3 linked regions of the Notamacropus eugenii genome follow. The protein of the gene in region 2 interacts with the protein of the main gene of each other region in a pairwise test. Links are inferred from orthologs where the notes say so. Each region holds a gene or a part of one and is shown on either strand. Other genes may lie near its edges.

What was found.
Region 1: the proteins of PPFIA1 (region 2) and PTPRF interact in a two-hybrid assay, tested with the Homo sapiens proteins (2 studies listed by BioGRID). The link is inferred for Notamacropus eugenii from reciprocal best matches to the Homo sapiens genes PPFIA1 and PTPRF.
Region 3: the proteins of PPFIA1 (region 2) and PTPRS interact in a two-hybrid assay, tested with the Homo sapiens proteins (2 studies listed by BioGRID). The link is inferred for Notamacropus eugenii from reciprocal best matches to the Homo sapiens genes PPFIA1 and PTPRS.

Annotation. Positions count from the first base shown.
Region 1 is NC_092873.1:504,994,656-505,005,029, forward strand, and holds the start of PTPRF (receptor-type tyrosine-protein phosphatase F), read left to right. Parts: upstream 1-4,242; 5' UTR 4,243-4,331; intron 4,332-7,503; 5' UTR 7,504-7,581; intron 7,582-10,374. UniProt on the Homo sapiens protein: Possible cell adhesion receptor. It possesses an intrinsic protein tyrosine phosphatase activity (PTPase) and dephosphorylates EPHA2 regulating its activity.
Region 2 is NC_092873.1:22,489,259-22,499,632, forward strand, and holds the start of PPFIA1 (liprin-alpha-1), read left to right. Parts: upstream 1-3,140; 5' UTR 3,141-3,274; intron 3,275-4,890; coding exon 4,891-5,154; intron 5,155-10,374. UniProt on the Homo sapiens protein: May regulate the disassembly of focal adhesions. May localize receptor-like tyrosine phosphatases type 2A at specific sites on the plasma membrane, possibly regulating their interaction with the extracellular environment and their association with substrates.
Region 3 is NC_092875.1:73,000,137-73,010,510, reverse strand, and holds the start of PTPRS (receptor-type tyrosine-protein phosphatase S), read left to right. Parts: upstream 1-5,348; 5' UTR 5,349-5,628; intron 5,629-10,374. UniProt on the Homo sapiens protein: Cell surface receptor that binds to glycosaminoglycans, including chondroitin sulfate proteoglycans and heparan sulfate proteoglycan.

The sequences.
Region 1 (10,374 bases), about 480 Mb from region 2:
ATATCTGACCTTTGTCCCCTCTTTTCTTTACTCCACCTCTGGCAGACCCCAAAGGAGAACACAAAGACAGGCTCCGGGGACATGTGTTAGTGAAGTAAAGGAAGACTGCTCAGTCCCGGGTCTGGGGACCAGGAGGGGGAAAAGCTGAGCAGAAATAAATGCTAATAACCCAGTTCCCCCGGAGGCCTCACCCATTGTGACAGACTCAGCCTGGGGGCTCCTCATAGGCTGGGTTCAGCAATGACTAGGAAGGACTCCTCCATCTCTCTCACTCCTCCTTGTTCCTTGTGTAATTCTGTCTTCCCACATCCCCAGGCAGAGCTCATCCCTGGCTGAGAGGAATCTCCACAATGAGAGATTCAAACACCCTTCCAAGTGACAGTTGCCAGTTCTGTTTCTCTGAGCCACCCTGTCAGCAGAGCCACAGCTGATGTGATGGTTTTAGCTGGGGACCCAAGGAAAAGAGGGGGCAGGGAACCAAATCTGGAGGTGGAGCAAAGGAGAATTACATCCCCAACTTAGGAGTCCCTTGATTAGAGCCCTGGGACACCAGCACAGTGGGGACCTGTGGGTGAGACAAGGTCATATCAGATACACCAGGTTGGTTATTGGGATATGGAATGGAGGGGGTACCCTTTGCCCCAATTAACAGAGGAGGGTCAGGAATTCCCAGATGTTCCCATAATCTGCCCCTGGAGAATACCTAGTGTGGAAGTGGCCCTAGTAACCCGAAAATCCCCAGTCTTCTGATTCAAATCCATCCCACCCTTGCTTGCCTGCCTTGGCTTCAGGTGAGACCTGTGACCCCAGACTCGAGGTCCTAACTAAGCCCAGAGGCAGCTGGGTGGTATGAGTCAGCTGTGGATTTGGACCGGAAGAACAGAGTTCAAATTCAGCCTCAGATGCTTACTAGGCAAGTCACGCCATTTGGGTCTGCCTCAGGTTCATTATCAGTAAAATGAGGAAAATAAAAACACTGACTTCCCAGGGTTCTTGTAGGGACAAAATTGGAAATCATATTTGCAAAATGCTTGGGAAGCCCCACACAAACACTGACCATTAGTGATGGGGTGGAGGGTGGGGGATTTGGTGGGAAGTTGACTCCAGGCCACACAAATTTGTCAGAGGTGGAAGGGGCAGGTCGGGGGGGGGGGGGGGGGGGGGGGGGGGGGAGCTCCTCTACCCGCTGGGGCTCCCACATCTGGGAGGTCCCTCCACAGCAAAAGGAGTGTCTGGGGTTCTCCCCAAACCTCCTCAGAGGTAGACCTTGGGGCAGTCCCGCGGGTGAGGAGAGCAGACATCAGAATTAGCTGCCGCTTACTCTGAGGGGCGACCCACGGGTGGGTATGTGGAGCCATCCCTCCAGGGCACAGCGCCTACTTGATGCACTCGCATCCGTGGCCTCCTACCCCCATCGCAGGGGCGGATTTGTGGAGCCACTCCCCCACCCCCCATCTCGACAGCGCCCACCATGCCCACGCCTAGTCTAGTCCATTTCCACGGCTGCACTTGATGCGCTCGCACCTGTGCCCGTGCCCCTCTCCTGCGCACAGGTGCCCATGCTGCCTGTGCCACCCAGCAGCCTGGCGCCGGCCTCTCCACCTCCAGCCCCTGCTGCCCGAACGGCCTGGCCTCTCCACAGACACGAGAGGGAGCTCACGCTCCACCTGCGAATTCGGGACTCAAAACTCAACCGGAAATAAACCCCTCGGGGATCCCTCTTCTCCCCCCACCAACCTCCCTTGGCAGCCTCCCTGAACCCACTCCGCCTTTCTCCCCGGAAGCTTCAGGCCCTGGACCCCAACCCTTCCCTCAGAAGCCCACCGCACACACACCCCCTTGGCCCTGGGAACGTGTCCTCAACTGGCCCTCACAGCCAGAGCAGACCCAGCTATTCACCCCCACCCATCCCCCCAATCCTGCTTCCCGCCTTTGCTTGGAGATCCCTTCCAAGGCCAGGGAGGTCACCACATCTTGAGCCAGTCCCTTCCACTCTGGGACTGCTCTCATTCTTGGAAAGTTATTCCTGACCTTGGGCTTAAATCAGTCAGTCAATAAACATCTATTAAGCACCTACTGTATGCCAGGGATGGTGCAAAGTGCTGGGAATACAAAAAAAGGTGAAAGCCAAGGCTGTGTTCGGCCCCCTTCCTCCTTCCTCCCTCCCCTCCGGAGCTGGGAGAGGATGTGTGTGCATCACAATGAAGCAAGGGGTATTGTGGGACTGTGCCCCCCAACTTCCTTGTATCTACTTGGCATACAGTTGCCCCAAGGGCAGGGATTGTCTCACTTTTGTCTTGTAGCCAAGTATCCAGAGAGCCAGGCTGGAAACAGGAGACCTGGATCTGGAGCAGCCTGTGGCACCTTCTGGCTCACTTTATCAGTCAATGCCCCAAGTCTCTCTCTAAAATGCAGAGAAGTGCTGGCCTGCATTGGAAAAGGAGTCTCCTCTCCTGGGAGTTCCCATCTGAGCTCTAGGCCCAGTCCCAGCTTCCATCCTAGCCCTGGACCTCACCCAGGGGAAGGCCTCCTGGACCGAAGGAGGTGGAATTGTATGGACGTGTGGGACCCATTTCCTCTGGTTCACCCTCCATATCTACTGGGCTATGCGTTTCTCACACCAGGCCCTCATCCCCTCTGACCTCAGCTATTGTAAGTTTGTTGCCTGTATCCTTTCTCTCCAGATTTTATCTATCATGCCATTTTCAGCCTCCTTTTATGTTGACTTCCCCCAAGGACTGTTTTACTCAGCACAGTGGCTAGCACACAGTCAGTGCCTAATAAATGCGTGTTCTGTGCCTCACTCAAGGCTTTCCTCATCTCCCACCTACACCCCCTCCAGTCTGCAATCTGCTGGTGCCTCGTGGCCCCTCACCAGCTCACTGTCAATTAGCTTGCGTCGAAGGTAATTCTGACTGGGGGGGGGGGGGAGGAGATGGGGAAGCACTGTACCCTCAGTGCTTTAGCACAGAGTAGGTGCTTAATAAATGTTCCTTGGTTGGCTAATTATTTATTTTAGACCTTCTAAAGCTGGAGGAAGCCTTCCTCTGATGGGAACCTTTGAGGGTCTGTGAAAGAGGGAAGGAAACCTGGGCACCGGCAGCCCGCACCCTAGGTCGGGGGAGAGAAAGAGGACTGGCGAGCCCAGGACCAGTCATGTCTGAGGCGCACGGGATCACGTTCCGGGGAGCTGAGGCCGCCCGGGCTGCGGGGCGGGCTCGGACCCGGCCCGGCCCTGCCGCCCCTGAGGCCGCCCGGGCTGCGGGGCGGGCTCGGACCCGGCCCGGCCCTGCCGCCCCTGAGGCCGCCCGGGCTGCGGGGCGGGCTCGGACCCGGCCCGGCCCTGCCGCCCCTGAGGCCGCCCGGGCTGCGGGGCGGGCTCGGACCCGGCCCGGCCCTGCCGCCCCTGAGGCCGCCCGGGCTGCGGGGCGGGCTCGGACCCGGCCCGGCCCTGCCGCCCCTGAGGCCGCCCGGGCTGCGGGGCGGGCTCGGACCCGGCCCGGCCCTGCCGCCCCTGAGGCCGCCCGGGCTGCGGGGCGGGCTCGGACCCGGCCCGGCCCTGCCGCCCCTGAGGCCGCCCGGGCTGCGGGGCGGGCTCGGACCCGGCCCGGCCCTGCCGCCCCTGAGGCCGCCCGGGCTGCGGGGCGGGCTCGGACCCGGCCCGGCCCTGCTGCCCCTAAGGCCGGGCCGACCTCCTCCCGGGCGGCGGGGCCCTTTGTCTGCAGACTCCGGCGGATGCCCGGCTCACCGAGGGGCCGCGGGAAGAGGGCGCACCTGGCCCAGGTGACGACCCCGCCCCCTCCACGAGGGCTAGCCCTCCCGCTCCCGGCCTGGGATCCGATCAGGGCGAGGCAGGCGGGGCCGCGTGGCCCCGCTGGGGAAGCCCTCCGGGCCGGGCCAGGGCTCGCTCGGACCAGTGCGGGACACCCGGGGAGGGGCTCGGGGGGCTGCGGGCGGGGGCGGCCCCGGCCCCCTCCCCAGCGGGTCAGGCCCGGGTCGACACGCCGCGGGGAGGTCCCCGCCCGCGCCCAGTGCACACACGCGGGGAAGCCCGCGCGCACCGACCCCGTTCCCCGGGCCTCCGCCGGCGAGGGAGCGCGCGCGGGGGGCGGCGGCGCGCACGGCACGCGGGGGCGCGCACGGCCGCCGGGCACGCGGGCGAGGAGGCGGCGGCGGCGGCTCGGCTCGCGGGCTGGGCTGGGCTGGGTGGGCGCTCCGGAGGCCGGACCGGCGGGTGGACGGGCGCGGGGCCCGGGGCGCGGGGAGCCCGAGCAGGGCGGCCATGAGGAGCGGGGGCGCGGGGGCTCGCAGCAGCAGGAGCAGCAGCGCGGGTGAGTACGGCCCCCCGCGTCCGTGTCCCCTGTGGGGGCCGTGGCCGTGGCCGCCGACGGTGGGGAGGGGAGGGAGGGAGCCTCGCGGGGGTGGGATCCGGGCCGGTCACTCTACCCCCCCCCCCCCCCGCCCGCCGCCTGTGCGCGCCCCCCGCGAGCGCGCGCCCGGGCTCCGGGCCCCCCTCGCGTGTCCGCGCCGGCCCTGTGGCCGTGGCCCGGGCGGGGCCCGCGAGAGGCCCTCCCCCCCGGGGCACCTGCGGAGTGGGGACAGGGGCTCCCTGCCTCTGGGGGGGGCGTCTCTGGGAGTCTGTCTCGGGGCCCCCTCCCCCCGGCGCCCGCGCGCAGGAATGCCGCCCCTCCGGCTTTTCCAGCCCGGCTGGCCCCGCCCCCGGCCCCGCCCCACCGGCCTGGGCTACCTGTGGGGGGAGGGGCGCACGGGGAGGAGGGGGAGGGGGCCACGGGGGGGGAGGGCCCCCCACCCCCCCACCCTCCCGCGCGGGCTCTGCCTCCTTCCCGCCCCTCGGCCCCAGGACCGCAGCAGCCGGGCTGGGGAGCTCGCTGCCCCCCGGGACCAGAGGGTCCTCAGTGGGCCCGGGACCTCCAGCCCCCACGCTGTGCGCCCTCCGGGGGCCAGGGAACTCGCCCTTCCAGTGCTGTGGGTCCTGCTCCCCTGCTGAACAGTACGTGCCGGGCCGTCTTGTGGGCTCAGTGGCCACTGAGAGCTCCAGATCCTTTTCAGATGAGCTGCCCTCTCATCTTGTACTTTCTGGTGCCTTTTTAATCCAGGCGGAGGACTTTACATTTCTAGTGACCCGAGGTCCCTGGCGTGACCACGACCTCTCCCAACCCCGGCCCACCCCCGTGTACACACTTTCTTTCAGTGCCACTCTCCTAGTGTCCTTCCATCACCCTCCTGGACTGTGTGGAGTAGTGGGCAGAGGCAGGCCCTAGAGTCACCAAGACCTGGCATTTTCTAGCTGCGTGACCCTCTGGGTCTCAGTGACCTCACCTGGCCTTGATGGGCTCCGGAGCCCTTCCTGATTCAGAGTCTGTGCCCCCCTCCTTTTTTTTTGGCTCTGTTGCTGTTTCAGTTGGGATGCCCTCTGGGTCTCCGTACAAGTCAGTGCCTCAGGTGGGCTCTGCTGGAGCTGTCCATCCTTCTTCCCAGGCAGCATTGTCTGCCTGTGTCTTGTTTCTGCCATCACCCTTTGCTCAGCTCTGGAGCATCCTTCTGAGCTTCTAGTGTAGTGACCTCACCAAAGAAAGTCATATGGGTCAGTGGAGCCTCCCCCCATGGACCCCCAGAGTCTCCCCAGGAAGCTGGGTTCTCTGCAGACTCTCCCCCTCTGCTGGCCTCCCCAGCAGGGACATTTGATGCCCTTTTCCTTGTTCTCTCTTCCTCAGCCCCCGCCCTGCAAGCCTGGCCAAAGCATCTCCTGAATACACCCCTTCTCTTGTTCAACACTGTCCCCCACCCCACCCAGGTGTGGCCCCTCATCAACTCATGTTTGAATTATTGTAGTAGCTGCTGGGAGTCAGTCAGTCCTTTAAGCATTTATTAAGTGCTTACTGTACACTAAAAGTTAAGAAAGGTTTAGAAGAATTGCCGTTGCTTCCAGGTTCCTCCGCCTAACAGACAGGTCTGACCATGTCACGTCCCTCCTGTGCTCATGAAGTTGGTGGCTCCCTAGTACTGCCTCTGGGCTTGGCATTCCAAGCCAGGCCTCCCACTTCACTTTCCCAAGTGATTTCTGGTGACTTCCTTGCCTCTGACTCTGTCCTTCCAGCTCCCTCCCTTTTCCACTCTGCCTGTGGTCCAGAGAAGGAGGCTGAATTGGACTCTGCCTCTGACACTTCCTGGTGACTGGGTGACCCTGGGCAACTCTTTGCCGAGCCTCATCGGCCTCACTTACAAAATGAGACTAAAATACCTGGCGGCTCAGCTCGACAAACCTTTTGATGACAGCTGTGGTGGCGGCTACTTTCTCACCCTTGGAGCCCAACTCATGCCCCCTCCTCCATGAAGTCCCCTAGGCTTCAGCTGCTTCTGTCCCCTCTCCCTCTTCCTTTGTGCCATCTTCCTTGTGGACCTCCCCACCTGAATCAAAGCTTCTTGAGGGCAGGCAGGGATTGAGTCACCTTGTAGAGCACAGGGTCTGGGAGCCAGTCCAAGGCTGTGCCCACATGCTGCTGTCTAGGGCCTGAGGAGGGCAGGTGTGCCTGGATCCAAATGCAGGGGAACTTGAGGGGCCTGCTGCCTGGTGGTCAGCCAGCTAGGCGGGGTGACCCTAGCAGTGCATTAGCCTGGTGGCTGAGGGCTGGACTGCACCAGGACTGGCCCTGGGCTCTGGAGGATGAGGTAGGGAGGGACAGTGGGGGAATCAAGTCATGGAGGTGGGAAGGAACCCTGTATGCACTCGATGGACAGATGGATCTTGGCCTATTTTGGGCCAATGTTGGGTGTGTTGGGGAGGTATCTTGGATGCCTGTCTAAAACTTGATCCTGGGATAGCTGGAGCCACAGGCAGTGACTTTCAGGAAAAGTGAATCGGGCTTTTCTGGGGGAGAGGTGAGGAGGAACCTCTGTCCTCAGGCCATGGGGACCAGTGGGGACCAGCCTCTGTTCAGGCTTGTTTGTAAGTCATAGGCAGCAGGCCTGGGGCTGAGGTAGATGGCTGTGTGGGCGGTGCACAAGTGTAGATGTCCAGCAGAGGAAGACCAGTGCCCACAGAAAGGAGAACTTATGAGGGACGCAGAGGCTGTGGATGTTTGGTGCTAAGTGACAGAGCCACAGAGTCCCCTAGGTTCTCAGTGTGTCCCTCTGCCTTGCTGGCCATCCTTCCTGAAGCTGCTTTGGGGGATGAGGTGGGCATGCCTCAGACTCAAGCAGTCCCATCCCCCCCTGAGGAGCGTGAGCTCTGGCTTGCCAGAGCTTGCTCTTCTGTGACCTCTTTTGGTGCCCAGTGATGGGGAGAGTGGGAGGGGAGCCACTGTCAGATTTGAGTGTCCCTTTGTCCCCCAGGATGGAAGGAGTATGGACTATATGGCCTTGCATTCTGGGACCTCATGTTCCAGGTCCTCCTCCTCCTCCGTCTCCATCTTCTGGGCTGGGAACCTCAGGCTTCCTTGCTTGCCAGAGACCTAACTCCCCTGCCCCCTTCCATCTCTACAGGAATGAACCGAGGACTCCCAGCTCCAGCCCTGGCCTCTCAGGCATCTGTGCAGTAGAAGTGACAGATTGAAGACTCAGGTGAGTCCAGCCCAGCTGGGCTCTGGACCCTGCCAGGCACAGAGGCCCCCATGGTGGGAGGGACGGGGGGGGGGCCCAGACCTGGGCAGGGTCAGGGAGTGTGTTTGCTTTCTCCGAGTAGGAGGGAGCCATGGAAGTTTATGGAGTAGGAAAGTGACTTGCGCTGCAGGCAGTCACTTTGGTGGCTGTACATGTGAACAGAAAGAAGAGGCTGTTGTTAGGCAACAACTTTCTATTAAGTGCTTGCTGTGTGCAGGGCATTGTGCTGAGCCCAAGGGAAACAAGCAAAAGCAGAAAGACAGCTGTTTCCCTCAAAGAGCTTATGTTCTAATGGTAGAAAGCGATTCTGGGTGCCCTGAGAATGAGGGAGGGACAGAGGAGGGGCCAGGTCTGTGGAGAACTCCCTATAGAAGAATGAGGGATGGGGAGGGCAGGCAGGAGCTGAGAGGGACCCCTGAGGTCCTCAGGTCCAGCCCCCTTGTTTTACAGATGAGGAAACTGAGGCCTGGGGAGGTAGCACAGGGAAGGGGGAGAGAATGAGCATTTCCGTGGCATCTGCCCTGTGCCCTGTGTAGATGTCATTTGGTCCTGACAGTGACCCTGGGAGGGTGGTGCTGTGATAATGTCCCTGTCACAGATGAGGAACCTGAGGCAAATAGGTTCACTGACTTGCCCAAGGTCACACAGTTCATCAGTGTTTGAGGTTGCATTTGAACTCGGGTTCTCCTACTCCAGGCCCAGCGTTCTTCCCATTGAGCCATGCAGCTAAGGTAGAAGTGGCAGAGCCACGTTTCGAACCCGGGCCTTGCTGCCGACTAGGTGCTCTTTTTGTCACCCTGTGAGGCCTATGTGCCAGGCTCTGACTGCAGGGGGCACATTTGTAGAAGCTCAGGCTTGGAAGAGACCCCAGAGGCTCCGAGTGCAAACCCCACCTACCTAAGAGTCTTTTTGTCATTGTCCCAGCTGTGCTTGAAGATCCCCCTCCCAGAGCGGCCCAGGGTGTTTGGGCCCACTCTCGTTTCCCTTGTCTCATTGGGGCTCTCCCCACCTCTGGGGCAGGTCTTCCACAACTCTGTCTTCCTCTTACTCCCTCAGCGAAGACCCTCACCTCCTCCCCTGTGGGAAGGCTTTTTTCTCCATTTAACCCTCTACTCCTGAAATCATCCCCTCCTTTACTCTCATCTGGAGGCAGCCTCTTCCCCAGGCTCTTGACCCTGCCTCGTTCCCTGTGCTGAACAAACCCTTCCTGGACTCTGCCATCCCCCTAGCCAGCGGCAGACCATTTGCTTCTCTCCCCATGCTACCTGCTGACTCCTACTTTTTAAAGTTTGACTGCTCCCTTTGGTCTGAGTGGCTCATTCACCGGGGTCTGTCCCTGCCTTGACCCGGAGCCTTCCCATGCAGCCAGAGTTTTTTTAGTATGTGCAGCTCTGCGCCTCCCAGAGTCTCCCATGTCTGCAGTGTCAGGGGCTTGGACATTCCAGTTCTACCCCGCAGTCCTCTCTTGAGTGGGCAGCCCTTTGTTTCTCCTCCTCCCTCTGACAAGCTCCCCTGCCCCATCCCCCTCCATCCTGATCATTTGGGCTCCCTCCTTCCTGACTGATAACTCCTTTTAAGTCTCCTTTGCCGGTTCATCGTTTGGGCCCTCAGCGCCCCCCAAGGCCCGGATGCCTTCTCTTCCTCCTCCACACTCCCCACCACCTCAGTTTTCCTTCTTTGTAGAGAAGATTCCCAGGGCTGTCCTTCTTAGGAGTCCAAGAACTAGAAGGCACTTTGGCGACATTGAGTCCAGCCCCAGGCTTAGCAGGAAACACTTTGCAGTCTTCTTAACCAGTGGACACCCAGCCTCTGTTTGGGGACCTCCACGGACAGGGAGCTCATCACCTCCCCGGGCAGCCCGGAATGCCCCACTCTGGGACAGTGTCATGGTGAGGGAAGTTTTCCTGCCATCCAGTTTGAGTTGGCCTTCCTGGGGTGTGTGACCTCCCCTCATTGCTCCTGGTTCTGCCTTTGAGGGAACCAAGCTGAACAAAGCTGATCTCTCTTTCCCATGACACAGCTCCCTCCTTTTAGGCACCTGTTGAACCTGAGCTTCCTCTACTCCCAGCTCTTGATATTTAGATGGCACGCCAGGCCTGAGCACCAGCCTCTGGGTAAGGCCTATCCAGGGCAGAGCATGGAGGCATGCTCCCCTTCCTCCTGGAGGCCAATTGAACCACCCAGATTCCTGTTTGGGTGCTTGCCTGCCCCATTCCACTGATGACTCAGCCAGTGTGTGGTCCTTTCAGACCCCAGGAGGTTTTCAGGCACTCCATTGCCTAGCCAGACCCTCCCCCCCTTCCCTTCTACTTGTGACATTGATTCCTTGAACCCAGGCCATAGACTTTACATTTGGCCTTCTTAAGTTCTCTCGCCTTAGATTCAGTCCAGCATTCTAGCTTGCTTTATATCAGCTTCCCAGCTTTGTGCTGGCTGGGAATTGGTTGAGAAGGTTGGCTGAGAAGGTGGTCTTGGGGCCCTCTCTTGCAGACCCTTCCCCAGGCTGGCCTTGTTCTGTTAACGACTGCTCTTCAGAGAGGCCATCTGACCTGGTCCACATCCCCCCCGCTCTTGCTGTTATGTAGTGCTCTCCATAGTGTTTGTTCATTAGAATCATATGAGAGTCTTACTAGATGTCACACAGTGACATGGGTGCACACAGTGGTACCCCCACCTTCTCTCCCCATCTCAGTCACAGGAGGAAATGGAGGTCGGTCCGGTGTGACCTGTTGTCTGAAGCCAGGCAGCTTCTCT
Region 2 (10,374 bases):
TCTCTGCAGGAAGGGAACTTCCAGGTGAAGAAACTTAGCCCACCCATTTAGGGTAGTACCTTCTCCACAACTAATAGAGTTGCCAAGAGGCACTCAGAAGTTGTGACTAGCCTAGAGTCCCACAGTCGATATCTATCTGAGGTATAATTTGGAGTTGTCTTCCTGACTTGAAGACTGGCTCTCTAGTCACTTATAGCAATCAGCCTCTTCACTGCTTCTGTGAGTTCTATTGAAATCTCTATTCAGAAGAATCCCAAAATTATATACACAGCCCTTACCTGTCATCTTAACTCCAGTCTGCCTAATAGACATTTACACCTGATGTCCTATCAGCATCTCATTCGTAATATGCCCAAAATAGAACTATTTCCTAGAAAGTCATCCCTCCTCCACTCTCCATCCTCCCAATCACCCAGGGATGCCACCTTGGAGTCCTCCTTGACTCATTCCACTTCTTTATCCAATCAGTTGTAAAGTCTGGTCAGTTCTCTTTCCCCGACATCTCACCCTATCATTCCCACCATCCCTCATTGAGATTACAACCACCTCATGGGTCACCTCTCTTCCAAACTCCGCCCTCTCCATTCTCCAAAAGGTGGCTAAGTTAATATTCTCTGTCACGTATTTGATCATACCACCAACACCGCCCCTCCCCCCCCCATCCAAAATCATCAGTGGCTTCCCATCGTCTCTAAGATCAAATCTAAACTCTTCACCCTGGCATTCACCAACGTGGCCCTGATGCTTTTCGGACATCATCTTACTCTTGTTCACACGCTGATGGGCAGGTCAAACTGAGCCTAGCGCTGTTGACTGAACTCAACATTTGCTCTCCAGTGTTCATGCCTGTGCACGCCCGGGAGGCTGTGTGCTCCCCCTCCGTCCTCACCTTGACCTCTTTGTAGGGTCAACTCTGGTGCCTGAGGTTACAGGAGACCTTTGCTGATCCCCCTCCCCTCCCCTTCAGGCTGTCCAGAAAACCAAGTGGTTTTTAGTTTTTAATTATTTGCTACAAGTTGTCCTCCTAACCCCAAGTAAAATGCAAACTCCTTAAGGAGGATTTTTTTTTTTGTATTTATATTCTCAAGTGCCTTGAACTTGGCTACTTAGGAAGCATTTTGTAGTTGTATATCTTCTTAGATTGTGCACTTCCTGAGGGCAGGGAGCTTCCATTTTCCTCCTTTTGTATCCCCATCCAGTTTAGGATGCCAGGCACCTCGGAGGTGCTTAAAGAACGATTGATTGAATTGTATTAGTCTGCCCCCAAGCAATACCTAGAGAGCTCTGTAGTGGGGAGAGAACCAGTTTGGAAATTCAGAGACCCGGCTTTGCTACTCACTAAACTCATTCATTAACAGACATTCATGAAGCGCCTGCTGTATGCAGGCACCAAGGGTGCGAGACCTTTCCGCTGCAAAGACAAGTAGGATGCAGCGCTCTGCCCTCCAGGATCCTGCACCTAATGGGGAACGACGGAGGTGGAGCTTGGGATCACAGTATCGTGGAGTAGCAGACCCAGAAGCCACCTACTCCAAGTTTTTCGTTTTAAAGAGGAAGACAGTGAAGCCCAGGGGGTGGTGACTTGTTGCAGGTCACAGGAGTGCTCAGCATGAGACAGGACTGCAATCAGGGCTCTTTCCACTGTCTCTCCCGTCTCAGAAGGAAGGGTGAGACGAGTACCAGGGAATATCCAGCCGTGGGACGGACACTGTAGATCCCTCCTCCTTTCTGGGCCTCAGTTTTCCTGTCTCTAAAATGACGGGCTCGGGCTAGGTGCTTTCTAGGGTTCCTCTCCGGGTGGAATTGGCTCAGCTTTGCTTTGTTTTCTCAGCTGAGTCCCACCGTAAAGGAATGAAGACAGGACAGAGCGCTCACCCTACTCCTTACTTCTCCTTAGTGGGGAGCCCAGGGTTTGCCCCAAGTCCCGCGGGCTAATGTATCATGCAAATCTGACCGCGCGTCTCCTGGGGAAACATCTACCCTAATTTGCATAATGATCCCATTTAGTGCAGGTAGTTAAGCACGTGACCTACTCCCGGGGGTCCGCAGTAGGAACCCTCCCAATTCTAGGATTTGTAGGTGTTTCATCCTTCATCCCCTGGGGGAGCGGCAGAACCGGGCCGGGGCGTCTCGGGCCCTCCAGTCCCCGGGGGTCCGGATGCCGAGTGGGCATCGCCCCCCCCACGATCTCTCGGGGACCGGAAGCGGCCCCGGGCGCCGGAGGACGAAGGCAGAGGTGGGGGGCGCTCCCGGAGGCTCTGCAGGCCCATGGCGCCCTTCTCTTTCCTCTGGTCCTCCTGGGCTCCCTGGGCCCGGTCCTGTCCCCCCGTCTCCATCTTTGCCTCTTTTCCTTCCATTTTCTCCTTCGCTATTTGTCCTCCTTTCCGCCTCCTCTTTTTCTATCTCTTTCCTCCATCTTTCTTTTCCTTATTCCCTCAGGTTCTTTCGCGCATCTCTTCCTCTCCCGGTCTCCGCGGGGCTCCTCGCTCCGCCGGCTTGTTGGCGCACGCGCACATCGGCAGACGTCGCCCCACACTCTTCTCCGCCGGACCACGCCGCGGTCGTTCCGCGCAGGCGCATACTTCGGGCGTCCCAGAGTCTCCCTCTACCTTTCCCTCTCCTTTCCCAAAGTAAGCGTGAGTCGTTTCGCGCACGCGCACGTCCCCCTAGCATCCCGGTGGGGCGGCGGGGTAGAGGACGATGGGCGTGAATTGCCTTTCCACTCCAAGAACTACACCTGGGTAGTTCCGCGCACGCGTACGCCTCCGGGAGCTCGGGCTCCTCCTTCGGCTCTCCCCGGGAGCTCAGGGGAAGGGCCCGTAGGCGCGCGCACGCAAGCTCACGTACGCACGCACGCAGCCGCAGACGGCCGCGGGCCGACGCAGAGGCGCTGACGCCAGGACGTCGTGACGCCAGGACGTCGCCGCCGCCGCGGCGGATGACGCGCGGATGACGCGGATGACGCGCGTCCCGGCCCGGCCCGGCCCGCTCCCGCCGCTCCTCCTCCACAGCCGCCGCCGCCGCTGCCTCCTACTCGTCGCCGCTCCTGGGTCCGGCCGCGGCGGGCAGGCGGGCAGGGGGACAGGCGGGCGGGCGGGCCGGCCTGCCTCGGGGGTCGGTGGTCGGGGGTCGGGGCAGCGGGCCCGGGCTCCGGCCTGGCCGCGAGCCTCCTCCTCCGCCCCGGCCGCGAGCCTCCCTCCTCCTCCCCGCGCGGCCTCGGCTCCTCTCGGGGGCTCCGTCTGGGCGCCGGCGCCGGCTCGGGCCCTGAGCCAAGGTGAGTGCCGGGCGGCGGCGGGGAGGGAGCTCCCCGTCGTGGCCGGGATGCAAGCTCGGACCGGGGAGTGGGGGCCGGGCGTCCCCCGCGGAGGTGGGGAAACTGAGGCACCGAGGGGTCGGACGGTTCACCTTAGGGCGCCGAGCCGGGGTGGATCGGGTCCAGCGATCCCTTCTCCTCGGGGCGTCGCTGCCGGGCCGGAGACCTTGTACAGTCAGCACTTATTAAGTGCCTGCTGTGTTCCTGGAGACCTCGCCGAAGGCTCTGATTTTACCTCTGACCCCCGGCCGGGGCTTGACGGGGGTTGGGGGGTCCCCGGGAGGTTCCTCCTCCGCCGCCCCCGAAGGAAGGACTTGGCACCACCGAGCTGGGAGGGGGTGTTTTGTCTTTGACTTTCCTGCTGTTTCCTGGTCCCGCCGGGGCAGCCGCAAGTTCACTTCTCTGTCCGGGGCCTGGAGCGGAGGAGGCGCTTCGTAACTGTGTATTGAGTATTGATACAAATCCTGCGTGTACCCCGAAAGCTCTCCCCGGGCAGAAAGGCGGCTGGTCCTGTCTGTTGGTGCGATACTGTATCAGGCGGTGATACTGTAGCATGTGTGAGACGGAGAGGGGGACTTATTCCTGTGAACTCCTGGACCAAAGCTGTCTTCAGGGGCCGGAGGCAGGGAACTTGCAAAATGTATGTTTTCTTTGCTTTTCTCTGCATTATCTTCTTTAATGCATTTCAAAACCGTCCAAGAAGGGCTGCACGGTGTTCATGGGGTCTTGGGCACGACCAAGAAGCCCTGGGCTAGAGGAGCCGTGATTTCCCTGCTTTCCTCAAATCCTGTTTAAAAGTCGTTTTTTCTCATCCCTTAATATTTGAGAGGTATTCTCAAATTTTGCCATTCGTCTTTATTCTGTCCCCTTTTCTCTGTGACCATGTTGATCCACTGTTTCTACACACTAAGTGTTTGTTGTAGCCCATCCCCATAAGGCTGAGTGGTTACTGCGGTCCAAAGCTCTCCCAGCTGTTGAATAATTTAGCTTCTTTTTGTTCTAGTCACCAAGTCCAGTGCAAGAACTTGGACCTCTACCTGTCCTCTCCAGTAGTAGCCCATACGTATTCCTGGATTGACCTTGATGGGTTTAGCACTTGTCCATTCTATCGATTAATTATTCTTTTGGCATCTTGAAAGATGATGGGGTACCAGGTATATTTTGTGGGTTGTTGCTTTCTTTGACCAGGAACTAGAAACTATGAAAGAGCATTTTTTAAGAAAGTAGCAACTAAGAAAAAATGCTGCTTTTTAAGAGGTCACCAAGTTTCCTTTTTAAAAATTTTTTTATATATTTTTAATGAAAGGTGATGATCAAGTTTTAGCACATACCAATCTTTTCTACGTTCATTCAGTTAGAGTTCTTGGCTTTTAGATGTCTGGTGGATGTTCTGATTTTTCCAGTTCACATCATGTTTGTGTAGCACTTAGAGACAGCATTACTCTTAAGAAGGCCAGAAAGAAAATATGCTTTTCCATTTTAACTTGTGATGATGTATTGAGTTTGCACATTGTTCTAAATTGCTTCTGGACTCTAGAGTTGCATTTAATGACTATGGTCTGAATTTTTATTTCAAGATGATGTGCGAGGTGATGCCAACCATCAGTGAGGCAGAAATTCCCCCAGGAGGAGGTGGAAGCCATGGTTCTGGTTCCCCTTTACAGCCAGATGCTGATTCACATTTTGAACAATTAATGGTGTCCATGTTGGAAGAAAGAGATCGTCTTCTGGACACTCTTCGAGAGACTCAAGAAACGCTTGCCTTGACTCAGGGGAAGTTGCATGAGGTTGGCCATGAAAGAGATTCCTTGCAGAGACAGCTCAATACTGCACTCCCACAGGTATGAATGTTTTTAACCTTGATCTTGCTAAATGTTTTGCATGGTGTGACTTAGTCAGAAAATTTCAAATAAAATCTGCAGTACTATCTATGAAATGGTCCATCAGGGACCACGTGTGGTGGTAATTTCTTGAGGCTGTTCTCTGCCCTTCACTGGAAGTAAAACCAAACAAGACTCTAAATGTACATCTGACGGTTCTCAGATATGCCCCGTCCCTGACTTTTTCCTTCCTAATTTGTGACTATTCATCTGTCCTGTTGGGGTGAGGTTACTGCAGTGCCTGCCTGCCTCAGGCTCTGCCTGAACTTCCCTCCCACCAGCACCCTCTGCACATGTGAATTTGGGGAGTAGCTGCATGGGGGTCAGACTTGGTTTTTGTGTTTTGAGTTGTTATTCAGTCACCAGTGCACCAAAGTCCATCCTTCATTGTTTGACTTTGGAAACATGATGACCTGAAGAAAAATACTCGGAAAGTGACTGGGAAATGTTCTAGTCAGCCCCTTTACATCTCTGCTTCTTGACTTAATGGGGAACCTTTCCAGAATGACTAATGAAGATAAAGGCACTTACGAGTTTGCACCGTTGGTAAATATTTTCCTATAACTGCATGTGGACAGAGGGATCTGTGGCTTAAGGCAGTTCGGTTATTAGAGTAGTTCAGATGGTAGACTGTGATCACGAGCGTAAGCTTAGAATAGGAAGAACCAAAAACTTTATGGCTGTTTTCAGAAGTGTTGTTCCTGTGATAATGGTAATTATAGAATGGTTTAAAAAATACCTAATTTATGTAAACTAAGAAGGGGGGGAGAATAAATAGTTCAGTGGATAGAGTCAGGAAGACCTGAGTTCAAATCCAGCCTCAGATATTCATTAACTCTGTGACCCTGGCCAGTTGTCAAAGCCTGTCCATTTCACCTTTACATCTCTGGAATATGCCCCCTTCTCTCCTGACAATCTTCCCCTCCAGGCCCTCATTGCCTGGATTCTTGCTGTAATTACTGGGATGGAGTGGGTCTGCCTGCACCAGATCTCTCCCCACTCCAGTGCCTCTTCCACTCACCCACTGAAGGGATTTTCCTAAATGCAGGTCTAGCCATACTCTGTCAACTCCAGTGGCTCCTTATCACCTGCAGCTTCAAATACAAAGTGCTCTGTTTGCCATCCAGAGCCCTTCACAGCCTAGCCCTCTCCTGATTTTCTCATCTTACACTCTGCTCTTTCCTGTGCTCTTTGATCCAGTGACACCAGCCTCCTGGATGTTCCATGCACAAGACCTTCCATCTTTCAGCTGTGGTCATTCATTCTCTCTGACTCTCATCCTTGGAATTCTCTTCCTCAGTTCCACCTCCTGACCTTCCTGGCTCCTTTTAAGTTCCAATAAAATCCTACCTTTCACTGGAAGCCTTTTCCAGTCCCTCCTGATCCTAGTGTGTTCAACTCCTTATTGCAGTGTGTGCTTCTTGAGGGCAGGGACTGTGTATTCCCAACACAGCACAGTACCTGGCACACATATTAGGCACCTAATAAATTTTTATTGAATGAATGAATCAACTTAACTTCAGTCTCCCAAGATTGTTTTGAGGATCACATGAGATAATATCTGTAAAGTGCTTAGCCCAGTGCCGGGCACACAGTAAGTGCTATTTAAATGGTGGTGGTGGTGGTAGTAGTAGTAGTAGCAGCAGCAGTAGTAGTAAGTATGTGCACAAAGAATGTATGCTGGGAGGATGAGTCACAGTACATGATGCTGACCATGGAGAGAAGAGCCTTCTTTGGGGAGAGTGTATTGGGCAGTGGACTTGTGGCCACAGGCAATGCCTGTGCTGCATTAGCTTCACTTCTGGAAACCAGCTTGAATTCGATTGTGGGATTTTTTTTCCCTTGTGAGGAAGTATCTTTAGATTCCTCATGAAAGATAATCCAAAAATGAATATTTACTTAACAGAAATTTGCATTTTTGTAATCATCTCAGCTGGGTTTCTCTTTCTGGGGCTGGAGAACTGTAGGGGACCCTTGAGGGAAATTGGGTTTGGAGACTAGAATTGTAAAAGTTTAGGCTACTGTTTTTCCTTTTGTACTTAATCTTTTACATTTGGGCAAGTGTCAGAGGGCCTTTAGTGTCAGTGTTGAATAATAACCTGACTATCAAGAAGGGCAGGAAAAATTACGTCTGTACCTCAGTGCACAAGTGGATTCTAGTCCCATTCATGTGTCAAGCTGCATGAACACGGGCCTATCACATCATCTCATGAGCTTTAGTTTCCTTGTCTATAAAATAATGGGGTTTGCAGGAGAGTGAATTTAAAGATCTCTTTGCCTCTGAGAGGGACATGTGGTGTGAGGGGAATGACCTAGGTGGTTCTCTTTGGGATGGGCCTTCTTACTTAGGATGTGTCCAGGTAAACATCCTTTTATGCAGTTTTGGTAGTGATTAACCACTGAATTATTGCTGTCCTTAATGCATTTAATCACTTCTAATAAACTAAACACTGGATTTTCCTTTTTAGCAACAGTGATTTTATGTCAGTGCTATATCCTTTTTTAGGATGCATAATAAGGATATTTAAAAATAAGATTTTATGTTTGCTGTTAGAATCTCATTCATATAAAGCTTGAGAATATAGTCACTTGCATGTCATTGCACCACCTTGGCAGAGTCTTTGGTTGTACTCAGTTTTGCTCACTGTTGCTCAAGATACATGGTTTGCCACATAGCTTGGTGGTTGTAATGCCACATTGCAGCCTGGCGTAGTGGATAGATTGCCGGGTTTGGAATCAGAAACACTTGAGTTCAAAGGCTGCCTCTGACATGAGCTGTGTGACCCTGGACACAGCACTTAACTCGAAACTGATGAAATCAGTCACTTCTCTCTTGTAATTAGACTTTTTAAAAGTAAGAGATTTACGGAAAAATCAGAACGAACAGGTTCTTAGTTGGCAAGGGACTCATCATTTTATGTATCTTAAATAACGTGCTCTATGTTACTGGTTCAGGATTGTATTAATGGAGGTGCCCGTGAAATGATGAATCCAGTACAGGCATGGAAAGATACCGTATGGCAGCATGCCACAGTAGCAAAACATTAGCTTTTACTGTCATCAGGAGCAGCTGGTGGTGTAATGGATACAACGCTTGTAAGTCAGGAAGGGTTGAGTGTGAATTCTGCCTCTCACACTGCTTGGCTGGATGGTCGTAGGTCAGTCGCATGGAGATTTCTTAGCCTTAGTTTCCTCACCTGTAAAGTGGAGATAGTGATAGCACCAAGCTCACAGGATCTTTGTGAGGATCAAACGAGATGACATCTGTTAAGCACTCCAGTGATGTTTATCGCCGTCCTCACTGTCCTTACCACCCTTGTTTAACAAGCTTCTGAGTGAACCAGGGAATGGCTCTGGAGGGCCTCAGAAGTGAAGAGTTTTTAGGTGTGGCATTTGACTTAGCACCATGCTTGGCTGTGCTAGGTGCTTAATAAAATCTATCAATTGAGAGATAGTCTTTGTGTTCTGTGCCGCACACTCCTGTCCATCACCCCCATTCTCACCTCTTTTGCACCAATATCATGAGAAGAGGAGACCTTTTAAGCCAGGGCCAACAATATTTTTGCCCTTGAGTGAGATGGCAGTCAGCTCCTGTTTCCTTTGGGAGCCTGTCCTTTTCTATCGCTTCTTTTTTTTTCTCATCTTCATTCTTTCTTTCCTTTTCTTAAGAGCATTCCACTTCCTATCTTTAAGAAGCCTTCACTTGTCCTTTCTGTTTCCTGCTGCTTTTGTCCTAGCTGATTTTTTTTTCCCTTCGTTTCAAAGCTACCTCTTAGAAAAAAGAAATTATTTACCTGACTTTTTCTCACCCCCTGTTGACTTCTGGATTTCACCAGTCAGCCGAGCTGTCCTCTTCTGCTTAGTTGTTGAGCTTGTGATTTTTAAAGTGGAGGAATGGTGATTTCCTAATTTGTTCTCTTTGTGGTTTGTGACATGGTCATTCACTTTTTCCTCCTTCATGTTTTCTTTCTCTTCCTCTCCCTGGACGCTCGTTCTTTTCCTATCTGTATTACTGATCTGTTTTAATCTCCTTGTTGGGTCATTGCTGCTAATGGCCTACTGATCTCGGGCAGTTTCTTGTCTCTTTTCCTCAACCACTTTTTTCTTCTCTTTCTTAAATCATTCAGCAAGTGTTTATCATATGGCTTAAATATATCAGGCACTGTGCGGGGTATGAAAGAAAAGTGAGACATTCCCTGTCTGCTCTCAAAGAACAGTCTTTTAAAACATTTTAAAAGGCTTTTTTGGCTATCTTCTTTTTATATCACTTTAATTTCTGAATATATTTTTCTTTATCTCCTTTTCATGGAGCTATTCTATTCATTCCTTTTAACAGTTGTGGTGGGTGAAATCTTAAGTGGCTGAGAATTCAGACTGAGATTCAAGCTTCCGTGCCTATCCATTTATTCAGCTGTGCGCGCCAATTGCATAACAAATTGGGATGAGGTGTCCTCAGATTGGCACTGGACCCCGAATACAGGTGGAAACAGTTTTGATACATTAAAAGAAAACAGTGAACAGGCTATAAGCCAGGATGCAGGATTAGATAATCTGATTTCTAACTGGAGGAAAGATTAGGGGTTTTCCAAGTTGGGAGAGGGGCCAGTGAACAGGTGCAATTCCCTGAAATCAGAAAAAGAGGTGGCCTACTCCCCCCAGTGTCTGAATTCAATCAAAAGAACAAGGACACAATAGCTGGCTGACCAGTGTGGGGCCAATTTGCAGATAAAACATGGGTTGCTTGAGATGTGTAACTGCGAGAAGACTTGCATCCTCTTCACCTCGAGCTGGGCTCCAGGGCCTCTGAGCAGCAGACAGAGGTGATCCAGCTTCCCAACCACACAGCCCTAGGTCCAAACAATGCAGTAAAGTTTTCTCACAAGACAGAAATTGGACTAGAACTGAATAGAGCTGTAACTGAATAGAAAGGGAACTGAGCTAGATTCAGAATTGAGTCACAAGATGTGTGGTTCACACCATTCTTCCACTTTTCGTCACAATTAAAAAAAAAAAAAGAGGGAGAAAAAGGACAGTTGAGCCAAGCAGTACATGAGGGTGATGGCGCATGTACCATTCCCCACATGCAGCCCCCACCTCTTCAAGGAAGGGAAGAAGGTGCTTCTTCTCAGCTTGTCTTCTAGGCTTGCATACGATTTTCCTTCCATTTTACCTGCTTGTTTT
Region 3 (10,374 bases), on a different chromosome or scaffold from region 2:
TTTTTACCTTGATAGCCCTAAGGGTCACCTTTCACTCTTTTGTAATACAGCCTCCCCATCTTAGGCAGCTGTACTCAATCAGTTAGAAAAGTCTTTACACCATTTACCATCTGATTTCTGAACTCACTTTGAAGAGCCTCTTCTGGCTCTTTGTCTCTTTCATTTTGCCTAATCATTGTCCATCTTCAAGTCCTGTCCTAGATACACATTAATATGGATGAGCTTAATTGGCTAGTTGGCTAGACAAGCCATAGTCTAGGGAAGTGGTCTACAAACTTTTTTGATTATATACCCCTACCAGAAAAAAAAAATAGCATACATTCCCAATTTGTGTATGTATGTATGTATGTATGTATGTATGTATGTATGTATGTATGTATGTATGTATGTATATGTAATTATCAATTATAGTCTTTTTACATAAATGGCCACTAATTTTAAAATTTACACAAAATAGATATTTTTGAAGAATAGGATAAAGGTTAAATAACATTTTATCCTAGAGGCAATAGGGGTTCACTGGACTTTATTGAATAGGAGACTGATATGGTCAGACTGTGCTTTAGGAAAGTCACCGTGGCAACTGTTCAGAGGATGGCTTGGAAAGGAGGCAGGGAGATGAATTAGGCTATTGTACAACCAAACCAGCAAAGGATTTCTTTACAGGGCTAGAAAAAATAATAACAAAACATCTGGAGGAACAAAAGGTCAAGAATCTCAAAGGAAATAATGAAAAGAAAAAATGAGAAGAAAGGAAGCCTCTCAGTACTAGATCTCAAACTATTCTGCAAAGCAGTAATCATCAATATCATTTGGTATTGACTGAAAAATATAAAAGTTCATGAATGGGACAAATTAGGTATACAAGCTACGAAGCAAATGAATATAGTAGTAAAATGTTCCGTAAACCAACTGGGGCATGGACTCACTCTAACAAAAACTGTTGGGAAAACTGGAAAGCAGTCTGGCAGAAATCAAGTTTAGACTAACATCTCATAGCACATACTTAACAAAGTCCAAAGGGCTACATGGCTTAGACAGAAAAGGTCACAACATAAGAAAACTACAGAGGCATAGGGATGGAGATACTTTTTGCAGCTATGGATAAAGGAAGAATTCTTGATCACTGAGAGACAGAAAGCATCGCAAGACATAAAAATGGAAAATTTTGATTCCATAAAATTTGAAGTCCTCTGTACAAACAAAATTAATGCAGGCAAAATTAAAGAGGAAATTAGTTAACTGGGGAAAATATGTGAAACAAGATTCTTCTATAAAGAAAGGTCTCATATCCATAAAGTATAGAAGGCTGATTTAAAATATAAGAACAAAATAAATAGTCAAAGGATATAAACAGCTAGTTCTCAAAGGAAGAAATCTAAGTTATCAATAATCATATGAAAATGCAATGAATAAATAGTAATAAAAATAAACAAAACAACTCTGATGACTCACAGATGACAAAAAAGGGAAAATTATAATTGTTGGAGGGAATGTGGGAGAGTAAGCACACTAATATACTGTTGATAGAGCTGGAAAATGGACTAGCCATTCTGAAAAGCAATTTGGAGTTGAACTCAAAAAGTTATTAAATTGTGCATACTGTTTGACATTCTAGTTAGACATATACTCAAAGAGATTGAAGATTAAAGGAAAGCTATAGTTCCAACAAAAAAATCCAGAAACTAAGGGGATGCTCATCATTTAGGGAAAAGATGAACAAATTATGGTATAAGATATTATTGAATATTATTGAACCATAAGAAACCGAAAGTATGCCTTTAGCAAAACATGAGAAAACACATATGAACTGATGTAGAATGAAATGAGTTGAAATATGAGGAATAATTTATACAATGACTACAACATTGCAAAGAAAAATCATTTTGGAAAACTTAAGAATTCTAATCAATGTAATGACCCACAGTAGCCCAGAAGACTTACAAGGTGTGCCATTGACTTACTATCAGAGATATAATGGACACATGATGCAGAATGTGATAAATATTTTCAGACCTGGCCAATGGGATGGGCTCCACACTTGCCAATTAGTTCTTTCCCCACTAAATACTAGTTGCACAAAAAAACTAGAGATTTCTTTATCAAAGAAAGCAATAAACATAAATTGGAAAAATTATGTAGACTATGATATACCCTTAACACCATGGGTAGATTATTCTCACGAAGATTTTATAGAGACAAGAAAGTAAGTGGCATGGTAGAGAGAACATGGGACTTGGTCAGCTCAAATACTGTCTCTATATGATGCTGGGCAAGTCAGTTTCCTCATCTGTAAAATGAGGATAATATCAGCACTACTGCACAGTCCGTGGTGAAGAATAAACAAATTAATAAATGTAAAGCTCCTTACAAACCTTAAAGCCAAATTAAGGACTATCTATTGTTGTCATTACTGTTATTAGTGTCTTCTTGATGCCTTTTTGGAATAATAATATTTTCCATGATTCTATCCATTCTTTTTGAATCTTCCTCACTCTGAGAGACATCATAAAATTATCTCCCCCCCCCCCCCCAAGTCTTTCAAAACTGAGCCACATCCAGCATGGGTTTTTTTTTTTTTAGCATATACTTATATGGTCATACATATATATATATACACACACACTTATATGGTCTATATATATATTACTCATATATATAGTCCATTTTTTTAAACAAAACACATCTTCTTAAATGCCATTTCTTTTTCATCAAGTACAAAGGCAGTAAAGTCCAACTGTATTGGTTTTGCTCTCAAAAATGATGAAAATAGATCCTTTGTAGAAACAATGACAAATCTGTTCCCATTTATCATTTATTTGTTGTTCCCCTCCCAGTTTTATCTATAAATGCTCTTGGGATGATCTGGTTTGGTTGTGCCTCCTGCCAAGCTTTCTATAGATGTATTTTTGCCTATGCTGCTTTTCACTGTTTTGTATGAAGTTCTTCTGACTTACAGACTTCTTCTATCGTCCTCCAAAATGTACAAATGTGTTTGTACCGTAAACCCGTGATGCCCTTGGTATACATTAGCAAGGAAATCCAGTATTTTCTCACTAAAATAATCTTGTCTCTTTTGTCCTCCTTGTTGAATTGACTAGTTGGACTTATGGGTTCATTAGTGTAGGGGGAATCCTAATAAGAAAACTGTTCATCAATGCAGATCACAACTCTTTTTTAGCATATTCTTAGAGAGTTAACTGAGAGGTTGAGTGACTTTGTCCAGGGTCACACATCACAGAGGTGAGATTTTAACCCAGGTCTTCCTGACTCTGAGGCCAGATCTCTATCCATAATGCCATTATGCCTCTCATCAGTTTACATGAACTGCTTCTTCAAACTTCTGTGGAAATGGTAATTATCAAAGTCAATATGACCTTTTCCCATTTCTTATTTTCCAGTGTCAACATTTTATTTGAATAGCTCAGGTTGAAGCTATTATAATTGGATCCTGTACTGCAGACAGAACCATTGTGCTTCTCCATATTCTCCAGCATCAGCATTATCATCAATCTTCCTACCATTATCATTCTTTCTTCTGATTCTCGACTGGTTTTAACTGACTACCTATAGACAGTTGATTCTGAAGTGACTCCCATGTCAATAATAAGTCATTTCTTTTCTGTTCTTAAAGAATCAAATTCAGTCTGTGAGAGAGAGAGAGAGAGAGAGGGAGGGAGGGAGGGAGGGAGGGAGAGGGAGAGGGAGAGGGAGAGAGGGAGAGAGGGAAAGGGGGAGAGGGAGAGAGAGAGTTTACTTGATACTCAGTCAATAGGCATTTATTAAGCTCTTATTTAGGTATCAGACTGTTCTATATGCTTGGGGAAAGACAAAAAAACCCACAAAAACAAAACAAACAACAAAAAAAACCCCAGTCCTTGCCTTCAATATGACCCCTTCCAGAACCTTCGAATCCTGTTCTTAGTCAGTCGATTCCTTTGGCTGTACTGGATAGAATGTTAGGCTTGGAGTCAGTAACACATGCCCAAATCCCACTTCTGGCCAGTAGCTGAATAATCTTGGATGAGGGATTTAACCTCTCTGAGCCTTAGTTTCCTCATCTGTGAAATGGGAATAATAATATCTGTAATTCCTGCCTCAGAGGCATTATTATAAAAGTCAATAGAGATCATACAGTGGAGGCACCTAGACTCTCTAGGGCCCAGAGAAGTATATCCCTATCATAATAAGTTATTGTTATTACGAAAGGAAGTATTCACGAAAATTATCCCGTGTTTACTCTTTGGAGGTCAAGGATTGTCTTTTTTTATCCTTGTATCTCCATTTAGTAGCTATTGCTGCCTGCTAGTTGAATTTCTATAAAGAATATTCCTGTTGATGTGAGTGTTCATTGCACAAAGATCTCCCATTTAGAGATGGTCTAGAAACTCTGAATTTCTGCACCCTCTCACTGTCTTTTCTGCCTCTCCAACACCATGACCGTAGGAGTGAGTGGGGGGGCATCTTTTGATTTTCTTTGTTTCTTGGGTTGCCATGGACGACGATGATCACCTAGTGAGTAGGCAGACTCCCGGCGATGAGCCTTTTCATACCCGGGCTGATCCTGGGGGAGCAGACCCAGCCTGCCACCAGAAATGCACCGGTAGACACTGAGAGCCTACGCTCCTAGCATCGTGTTCCAGAGTCCTGGGACACCTCCACACCGCGATGAGGTATCTGGGCAGGGCTTTAGCTGGATACTTGATGACACGCTTTTTATGGACAGCTCCATTTTTGCTGGTGCCTCAGGGTTTACCGAGTACTCTCCTCACACAAATCCTGGTGGGTAAGGGCTGTGGACAGCACTATTGTTTTTACAAACCTCACACCCTCACAGTGCTTGCTACATAGCTAAATGTGTGTGTGTGTGTGTGTTTAAATTTAAGACTGAAAATAGCAGAAAGGGCAGAGGGGAAAGCTGATTCCAAGAAAGCCATTTACAATTGTGTGAAGCGAGATCCAAGCCTGAGAACATGGGCGCTTCGAGGGTCCCTTTAACAGGCCCTCTTGCGCTATCGCCACTGGGATCACCACGTGCTCCCTGGAGCCCCTGCTCCAGAGAGCACCACGTGCTTCTGAGCCCTTTAACTCACAATTCGGTCCTTTGATCACCACGTGACAGAAGTCAGCTATTCCCATTGGCTGGCAGTAGGGGGCAGGGGAGGAGGGAGGTTTGGTGGCGAGGTGTTGCGCGGTGACGCAGGGACGGCCCGGCTCCGCCCCCTCGTGGGCTCCTCGTCTCCCCCCTTCCCCGGAGCCGCGCGAGCCCTCCCTCTCCCTCCCCCCTCAGCTCCTGGCCGGCGGCGGCGGCGGCGGCGGCGGCGGCGGCGACGGCGGCGGCGGCGGCGGAGGCATCGGCTCTTGGAATGGAATGACATCACCGGCTGTGGGGAGCTGGAGCTGCTGGGAGAGCGCGAGCCGCAGTGTCTGTCCTCGCGCCGCCCGCCCGCCCGCGCGATCCCTGCCAGCCCCGGCCAGCGCGCGCCCGCTGCCTGCTCTGCTGCTCGGGCTGGCTTGCCTGGGAGAGCGCCGGGGCCAGACGGATTAAATGCTACGCCGCCGCCGCCTCTTCCTGCGAGGATGTGAGGGGGGCAAGAACCGGGGGAGCCCAGCCCAGCCAGCCACCAGGTAGAATCTCAGCCCGAGCCCCGGGGATGGGGGCGGGGGGCGGTCGAGGAGGAAGGGGGTGGGGGGCGATGGAGTCGCCGTAGCGTGGGATGGGATGCACCCGGGCATTGTGTGAGGGAGCCGGGGAGTGAGGCACCGGCGCAGCCGGGCATTGTGTGGAGCTGGAAGGATGCTCCGGTGCCCCGGCTGCTGTGCTCGCGAATGGGAGCTGGGGCGTTGCACCCAGGAGCCGGGGGAAGGCACCGGGACAATGCCTGGGGGGGCGGCTCTGCACGAGAGGGGGGTGGGGACGGACCGGACTGGCTTCTGAACGTTGCACTGAGCAAGCGGGGTGTAGCTGGAAGCGCTGTGAATTTGTGCTGGGAAGGGAGGGATGCGACCGACCAGGAGGGCTGGGGGGAGGGGGGAATACGCTGGAAAGCACTCGCTGAAGAATTGTCCTGGAAGCTGGGCAGAAAGCCCCCGAGCTTGGGTTGGACGCACCCGGGGATGATGCGGGCGGGGCAGGGAGTGCAGGAAAGGGGAAAGGAAGGGGAGCCGGGATGCCTGTATCGGAGTATGCGGGCGATGGCAGCCGAGTCCCGGGGCAGCTCTCTCCTAGGAGGGCTGACAGGATGGAGGAAAGGCAGGCTGCTGAAGGCTGCGAAGACCCACGGCTATTCCGGGGACTGGTGGGGGTGGGGACAGAGAGATGCACCACTGAATTACGGGGCATCGAGCCGAGGGGTGGGGGAAGCCCGAGAAAGGCAGAGCCCCGGAGCTTATACCTTCAAAGGCAGAGAGAAGGGTTGAACCCATGGACTCTGGGAAGCTTGTTGAGAGGCAAGAAGTGTCTTCCACTTTTCCCGCACCTGGGGAGCCCACAGCCCGCTGTCTTCCTGAGTCCCTACCCTCCGTTGCCTTCCTCTCTCTCCTGCCATGCACAGGGATCCGAAAAGTGGCAGGGGACCTCTCCCTATTCTTTTTTCCCTCTTCAGGTCTGGTCTGCTGGCCTTGGTTGCTGGTCAGACCATGGACATCCCTTCTCCACTGGGCACCAGAGGGCTCCCTCTGGCCCCAAGCCCCTTTCTCCTAGGGGATTTCCCCCCTCCCCTCTTTTTGTGCCTCCCCTCCCACCTACTATCCTGCTTTTCACCACACCCCTCTTCCCAAATGGGATTTAGCTTCTGGTTTCCTCTGAGCACCCTCCCACCCTTTCCACTCTCAGCTTTTAGCTCACTTCCGTGTACCTTGGACCCCGGAGCACCAAAGGAGTTACGTCCCCCTCGGATGACAAGCTAGGCTTTGGGGACCCAAAGACAGAGCCCTTGCCCCTCTCCAGCCCGCAGATGCTGGAAGCCTGGTTCGTCTAAATGGGGTGTGTATGGGGGTGCTCTTAACCAAGATTTAGGATTGATAAGACAATTTGGGACTTCTTGATCCGTCCCTACACCGCTGCCACCACCCTGAATCTCTTGCCCCACAGGGCTGTTCTTAGAAGGAAACATTTCTCTTGTCCACACGGGGAAGAGGAATGACAAATCATAGAATGAAACAGAGCTGGAAGGTCCCTTAGCTTCCTCACCGTTTTGGAGAACGGAGTCACAACATTTCCAACCATCTCAGGTCCCCATGGAGGGAGGGAAGGAGTGTCGGTGACTGATACCTGCCTGAAGCCCTTTCAGTTTGGGGAAAGCCAAGAAGTCTGCACTAGCCCTTGGCACCCTCCAGGAACGGGGATTTTTTCAGAGAGCTCGGCAGAAGGTGAAAGGGGGGAAAGCCTGGCAGGGGTCCCACCAGGAGACCCTGACACAGGATTTTGAGTGAGTGTTCACGTGCTCAGAATTCTCCCGAAGCAGACTGCTCCCCGGGTGCCAGTTTGTCGGAAAGCACGGAGGGGGCCGCATTCAGGCGGAGGGGGGGACCAGGTTTTTGCTTGAAGGAACATCTGTGGCTGCTACAAGTAGAGAGGGAGGGCGGCGGCCTTTGGATTTTTACCCCTCCCGGCCCTGGGTGCCTGAAGGAGCTTAATAAAGGCTTGTTGAATGGAAATGCATCGATTGACTAGTTGTCTAGAGGCTGGGGCTGGTCGCGATGGAGGCCGGGCACCTTCAGGGCAGGGCCGGGGTACGCTGGCAGCCTCGCCCTGCACGTGGCGCCCGCTCGGGGATCCCGCCTGCACTGGAAGGTGAGAATACGGAGGCCGTGCGTGCGACTCTTGCAACTCCTGGACCCCGTGGGTGCCTTGCCCGCGGGCCATCCCCCCAGTCTTTCCCCTTCTCCTCCCGGAGCCACAGCCTGAAGCGAAATCCCTAAAGCCGGTCGGCACCCCGGCCAGCTGCCCGCCCCAGCCCGGCTTTAGCCCCTGGCCGCGCGCGCCGCTGGGGGGCGAGGGCGAGGGCGAGGGGAGGGGCGGGGAGAGGAGCGCTGACGTCATTCCCGGAGGAGGCAGGGGCGGAGTTCCCTTCCTTCTCCCCTCCTCCTCCCCCCACCCCACATTGGCCGTTATCTCGCACTCCGGCCGCTGGGCTCCGCGTTGGAACTGTAACCGGCGAACGTGGGGAGGGGGAAGAGAAAAAGCTTGCGAGCGCGCATGCGCAGTTGGGGGGGGGTGCCCTGAGGTTGTGTTTAAACCTGTACCCCGAGTCTCTCTGAAAGACTAAGGGGTGTCGGGGGAAGGTGGCAGCCGCGAAGTGGGAAGCCCTGGTGGGGCTTTTCTTTTTCTCTTCTCTCCCCTCACCCCTCCCTCTTCTATGGGGAGATTGCCTGCCCCTCTCTCCAGGCTGGTGCACTATTTTGGGAGGGCTAAGGGATACCTCCCCAACTCACGCACCTCGTAACGCCCCCTCATATGCCTCCCTGCTCGGGCTGGGCCTGCGGGGTTTCCCTTTCTGTGGGCCTGGGAGGGAGGGTCCTCGTGTAGCAGGACATGGGGTGGGGACCCTATGTAGAAGACTAATGGGGGGCCTCAGGGTGAGGCATTCACACACCTTTAGCCTCATAGCACCCCCCAACCACAGCTGGGGGGCACTCTTTTCTCCCCGCCCCCTTCCTGCTAGTAGGGTTTTCTAGATCTGAAGCTTTTATTTCTAGATCCGAAGGCTTTCTTGGCCAGAAAAGGAGCAGAGCCTGGGAATTCATTCATTCATGACTTCATGAATTTGCTCGTCAGACATTTCAGCCAGCCTCTGGGTGCTGGCTGTCGGGGAAGTAGGAAGGGACCCTCTGACCCTCCTGCCCCGTCCTGGGGGGCTAGACGAGCAGCAGCAATCATCACCCTTAAGATGAAAAATGAGACAAAAACCACTTTTTTGGAGCTTGGCTCCAAAGGAGAGAAGATGGAAGTGTCCCTCCTGCCCCCCAGCCCAGCCCGGCGCAGCCCGGCCCCTTCAGTCTCAGGGCATCTCCTGTTGCTGATTTACTATCTTGGGAGCCCTGGTGTCTCCCCCCAGCTGTTGTTAGTTCATTGTGAAAAAAGCACCTGGCTGGTTCAAAGGGGAGTGGGAGATGGACAGGGAGAAACGTGTGTGTGTTTGTGTTTTCTCCTTTTCCCTGAATTGTTCCCTTCACCCTTCTGGAAAAGCTGGCCAGTTGCCTCCGATGAGACACCAGCTGCTTCTGCTCAGGGCCTTATTAATGGGTTTAGGGATTTGAGGCGACTCTCCATTTGCATATTTCTCCCTCTCTCTCTCTCCATTTCCCAGGGTCTGGTGTGGCTTCCTTTTCTGCCTCCCCCCACCATCTTGCCTTCTGTGTCTTTTACTCTGCCAACTAGACCTTCATAGCTGCCACTGGCATTTGCAGCTTTGAAAAGGGAGTTTGTATAGTGGGAATAGTAGGTTCGAGGGGAAGGCTGGGGCTGGGATGTGTGTTTGTCTGTGGTAGAGATAGATATACAAAGAACTGGGCTTGCTCCTGCTGTCTAGTGCTTTGAAGTAAAAGGAAACCACATGATGCTCTTTCTTCAGTGTTCAGAAAAGTGAATTTTCCAGCAAGTGGGTTGGATCAAGTAAGAGATCCTTCTGTCCCAAAATGGACTCACAGAACCAGATTAATGCAATTATCTCATTCCTCAGGATGGCCCAGAGACCATATTTATGTTATTTAGGGTCAATATTGGAACATCAGAATTTAGCATTAAAGAGAATTTTGAGATTTTCTACTTCATCTCCCCCCTCCCCTTATTTCACAGATGAGGAGACTGAGAACTAAAGAACTGACTTGCTCAAGGTCACACAAACTAGTAAATGGCGGAGCTGTGATTTAAAGTCAGATCCACTGTCTCCAAATTCAGTATTTTATCTATGGAATACTGGAGGAGAGGATCTCCCCTCCTGCCTTTACTTTCCTCTTATTCTGGAAAGAAAGAACAATGAAAGGGGCCAGAGGTTTGACTTTCCTGTTAAGACTTTAATTCTTTTTCTTGAGTATGAAGTCGGCATGGGCTAAATTCCCTTCCGTCGTGTGCTATTGTAGCTGAAGACTCCAGACAGGTCTGACGCAGAGCTTTGCACTTAGTAGGCCCTTCATAAATGTTTAGTTTACTACAGCATCTAAGAGGATGACAATGCACTTTTCGGTGGGGATGGAGGTGGGAGGAGTCTCCCCCCCATGGGAATTTCCACCTGCCCTGCCTAACGATGGCTTAATCGTGTGGAGAATTGATATAATTGGGCGCAATATGCACAGTGAGCAACGAGCAAACAAGGTTGTGCCTGGAGAGATGGTACAACCTTAGTGAGCTAATGGGTCTTTTCCATCCCTTAC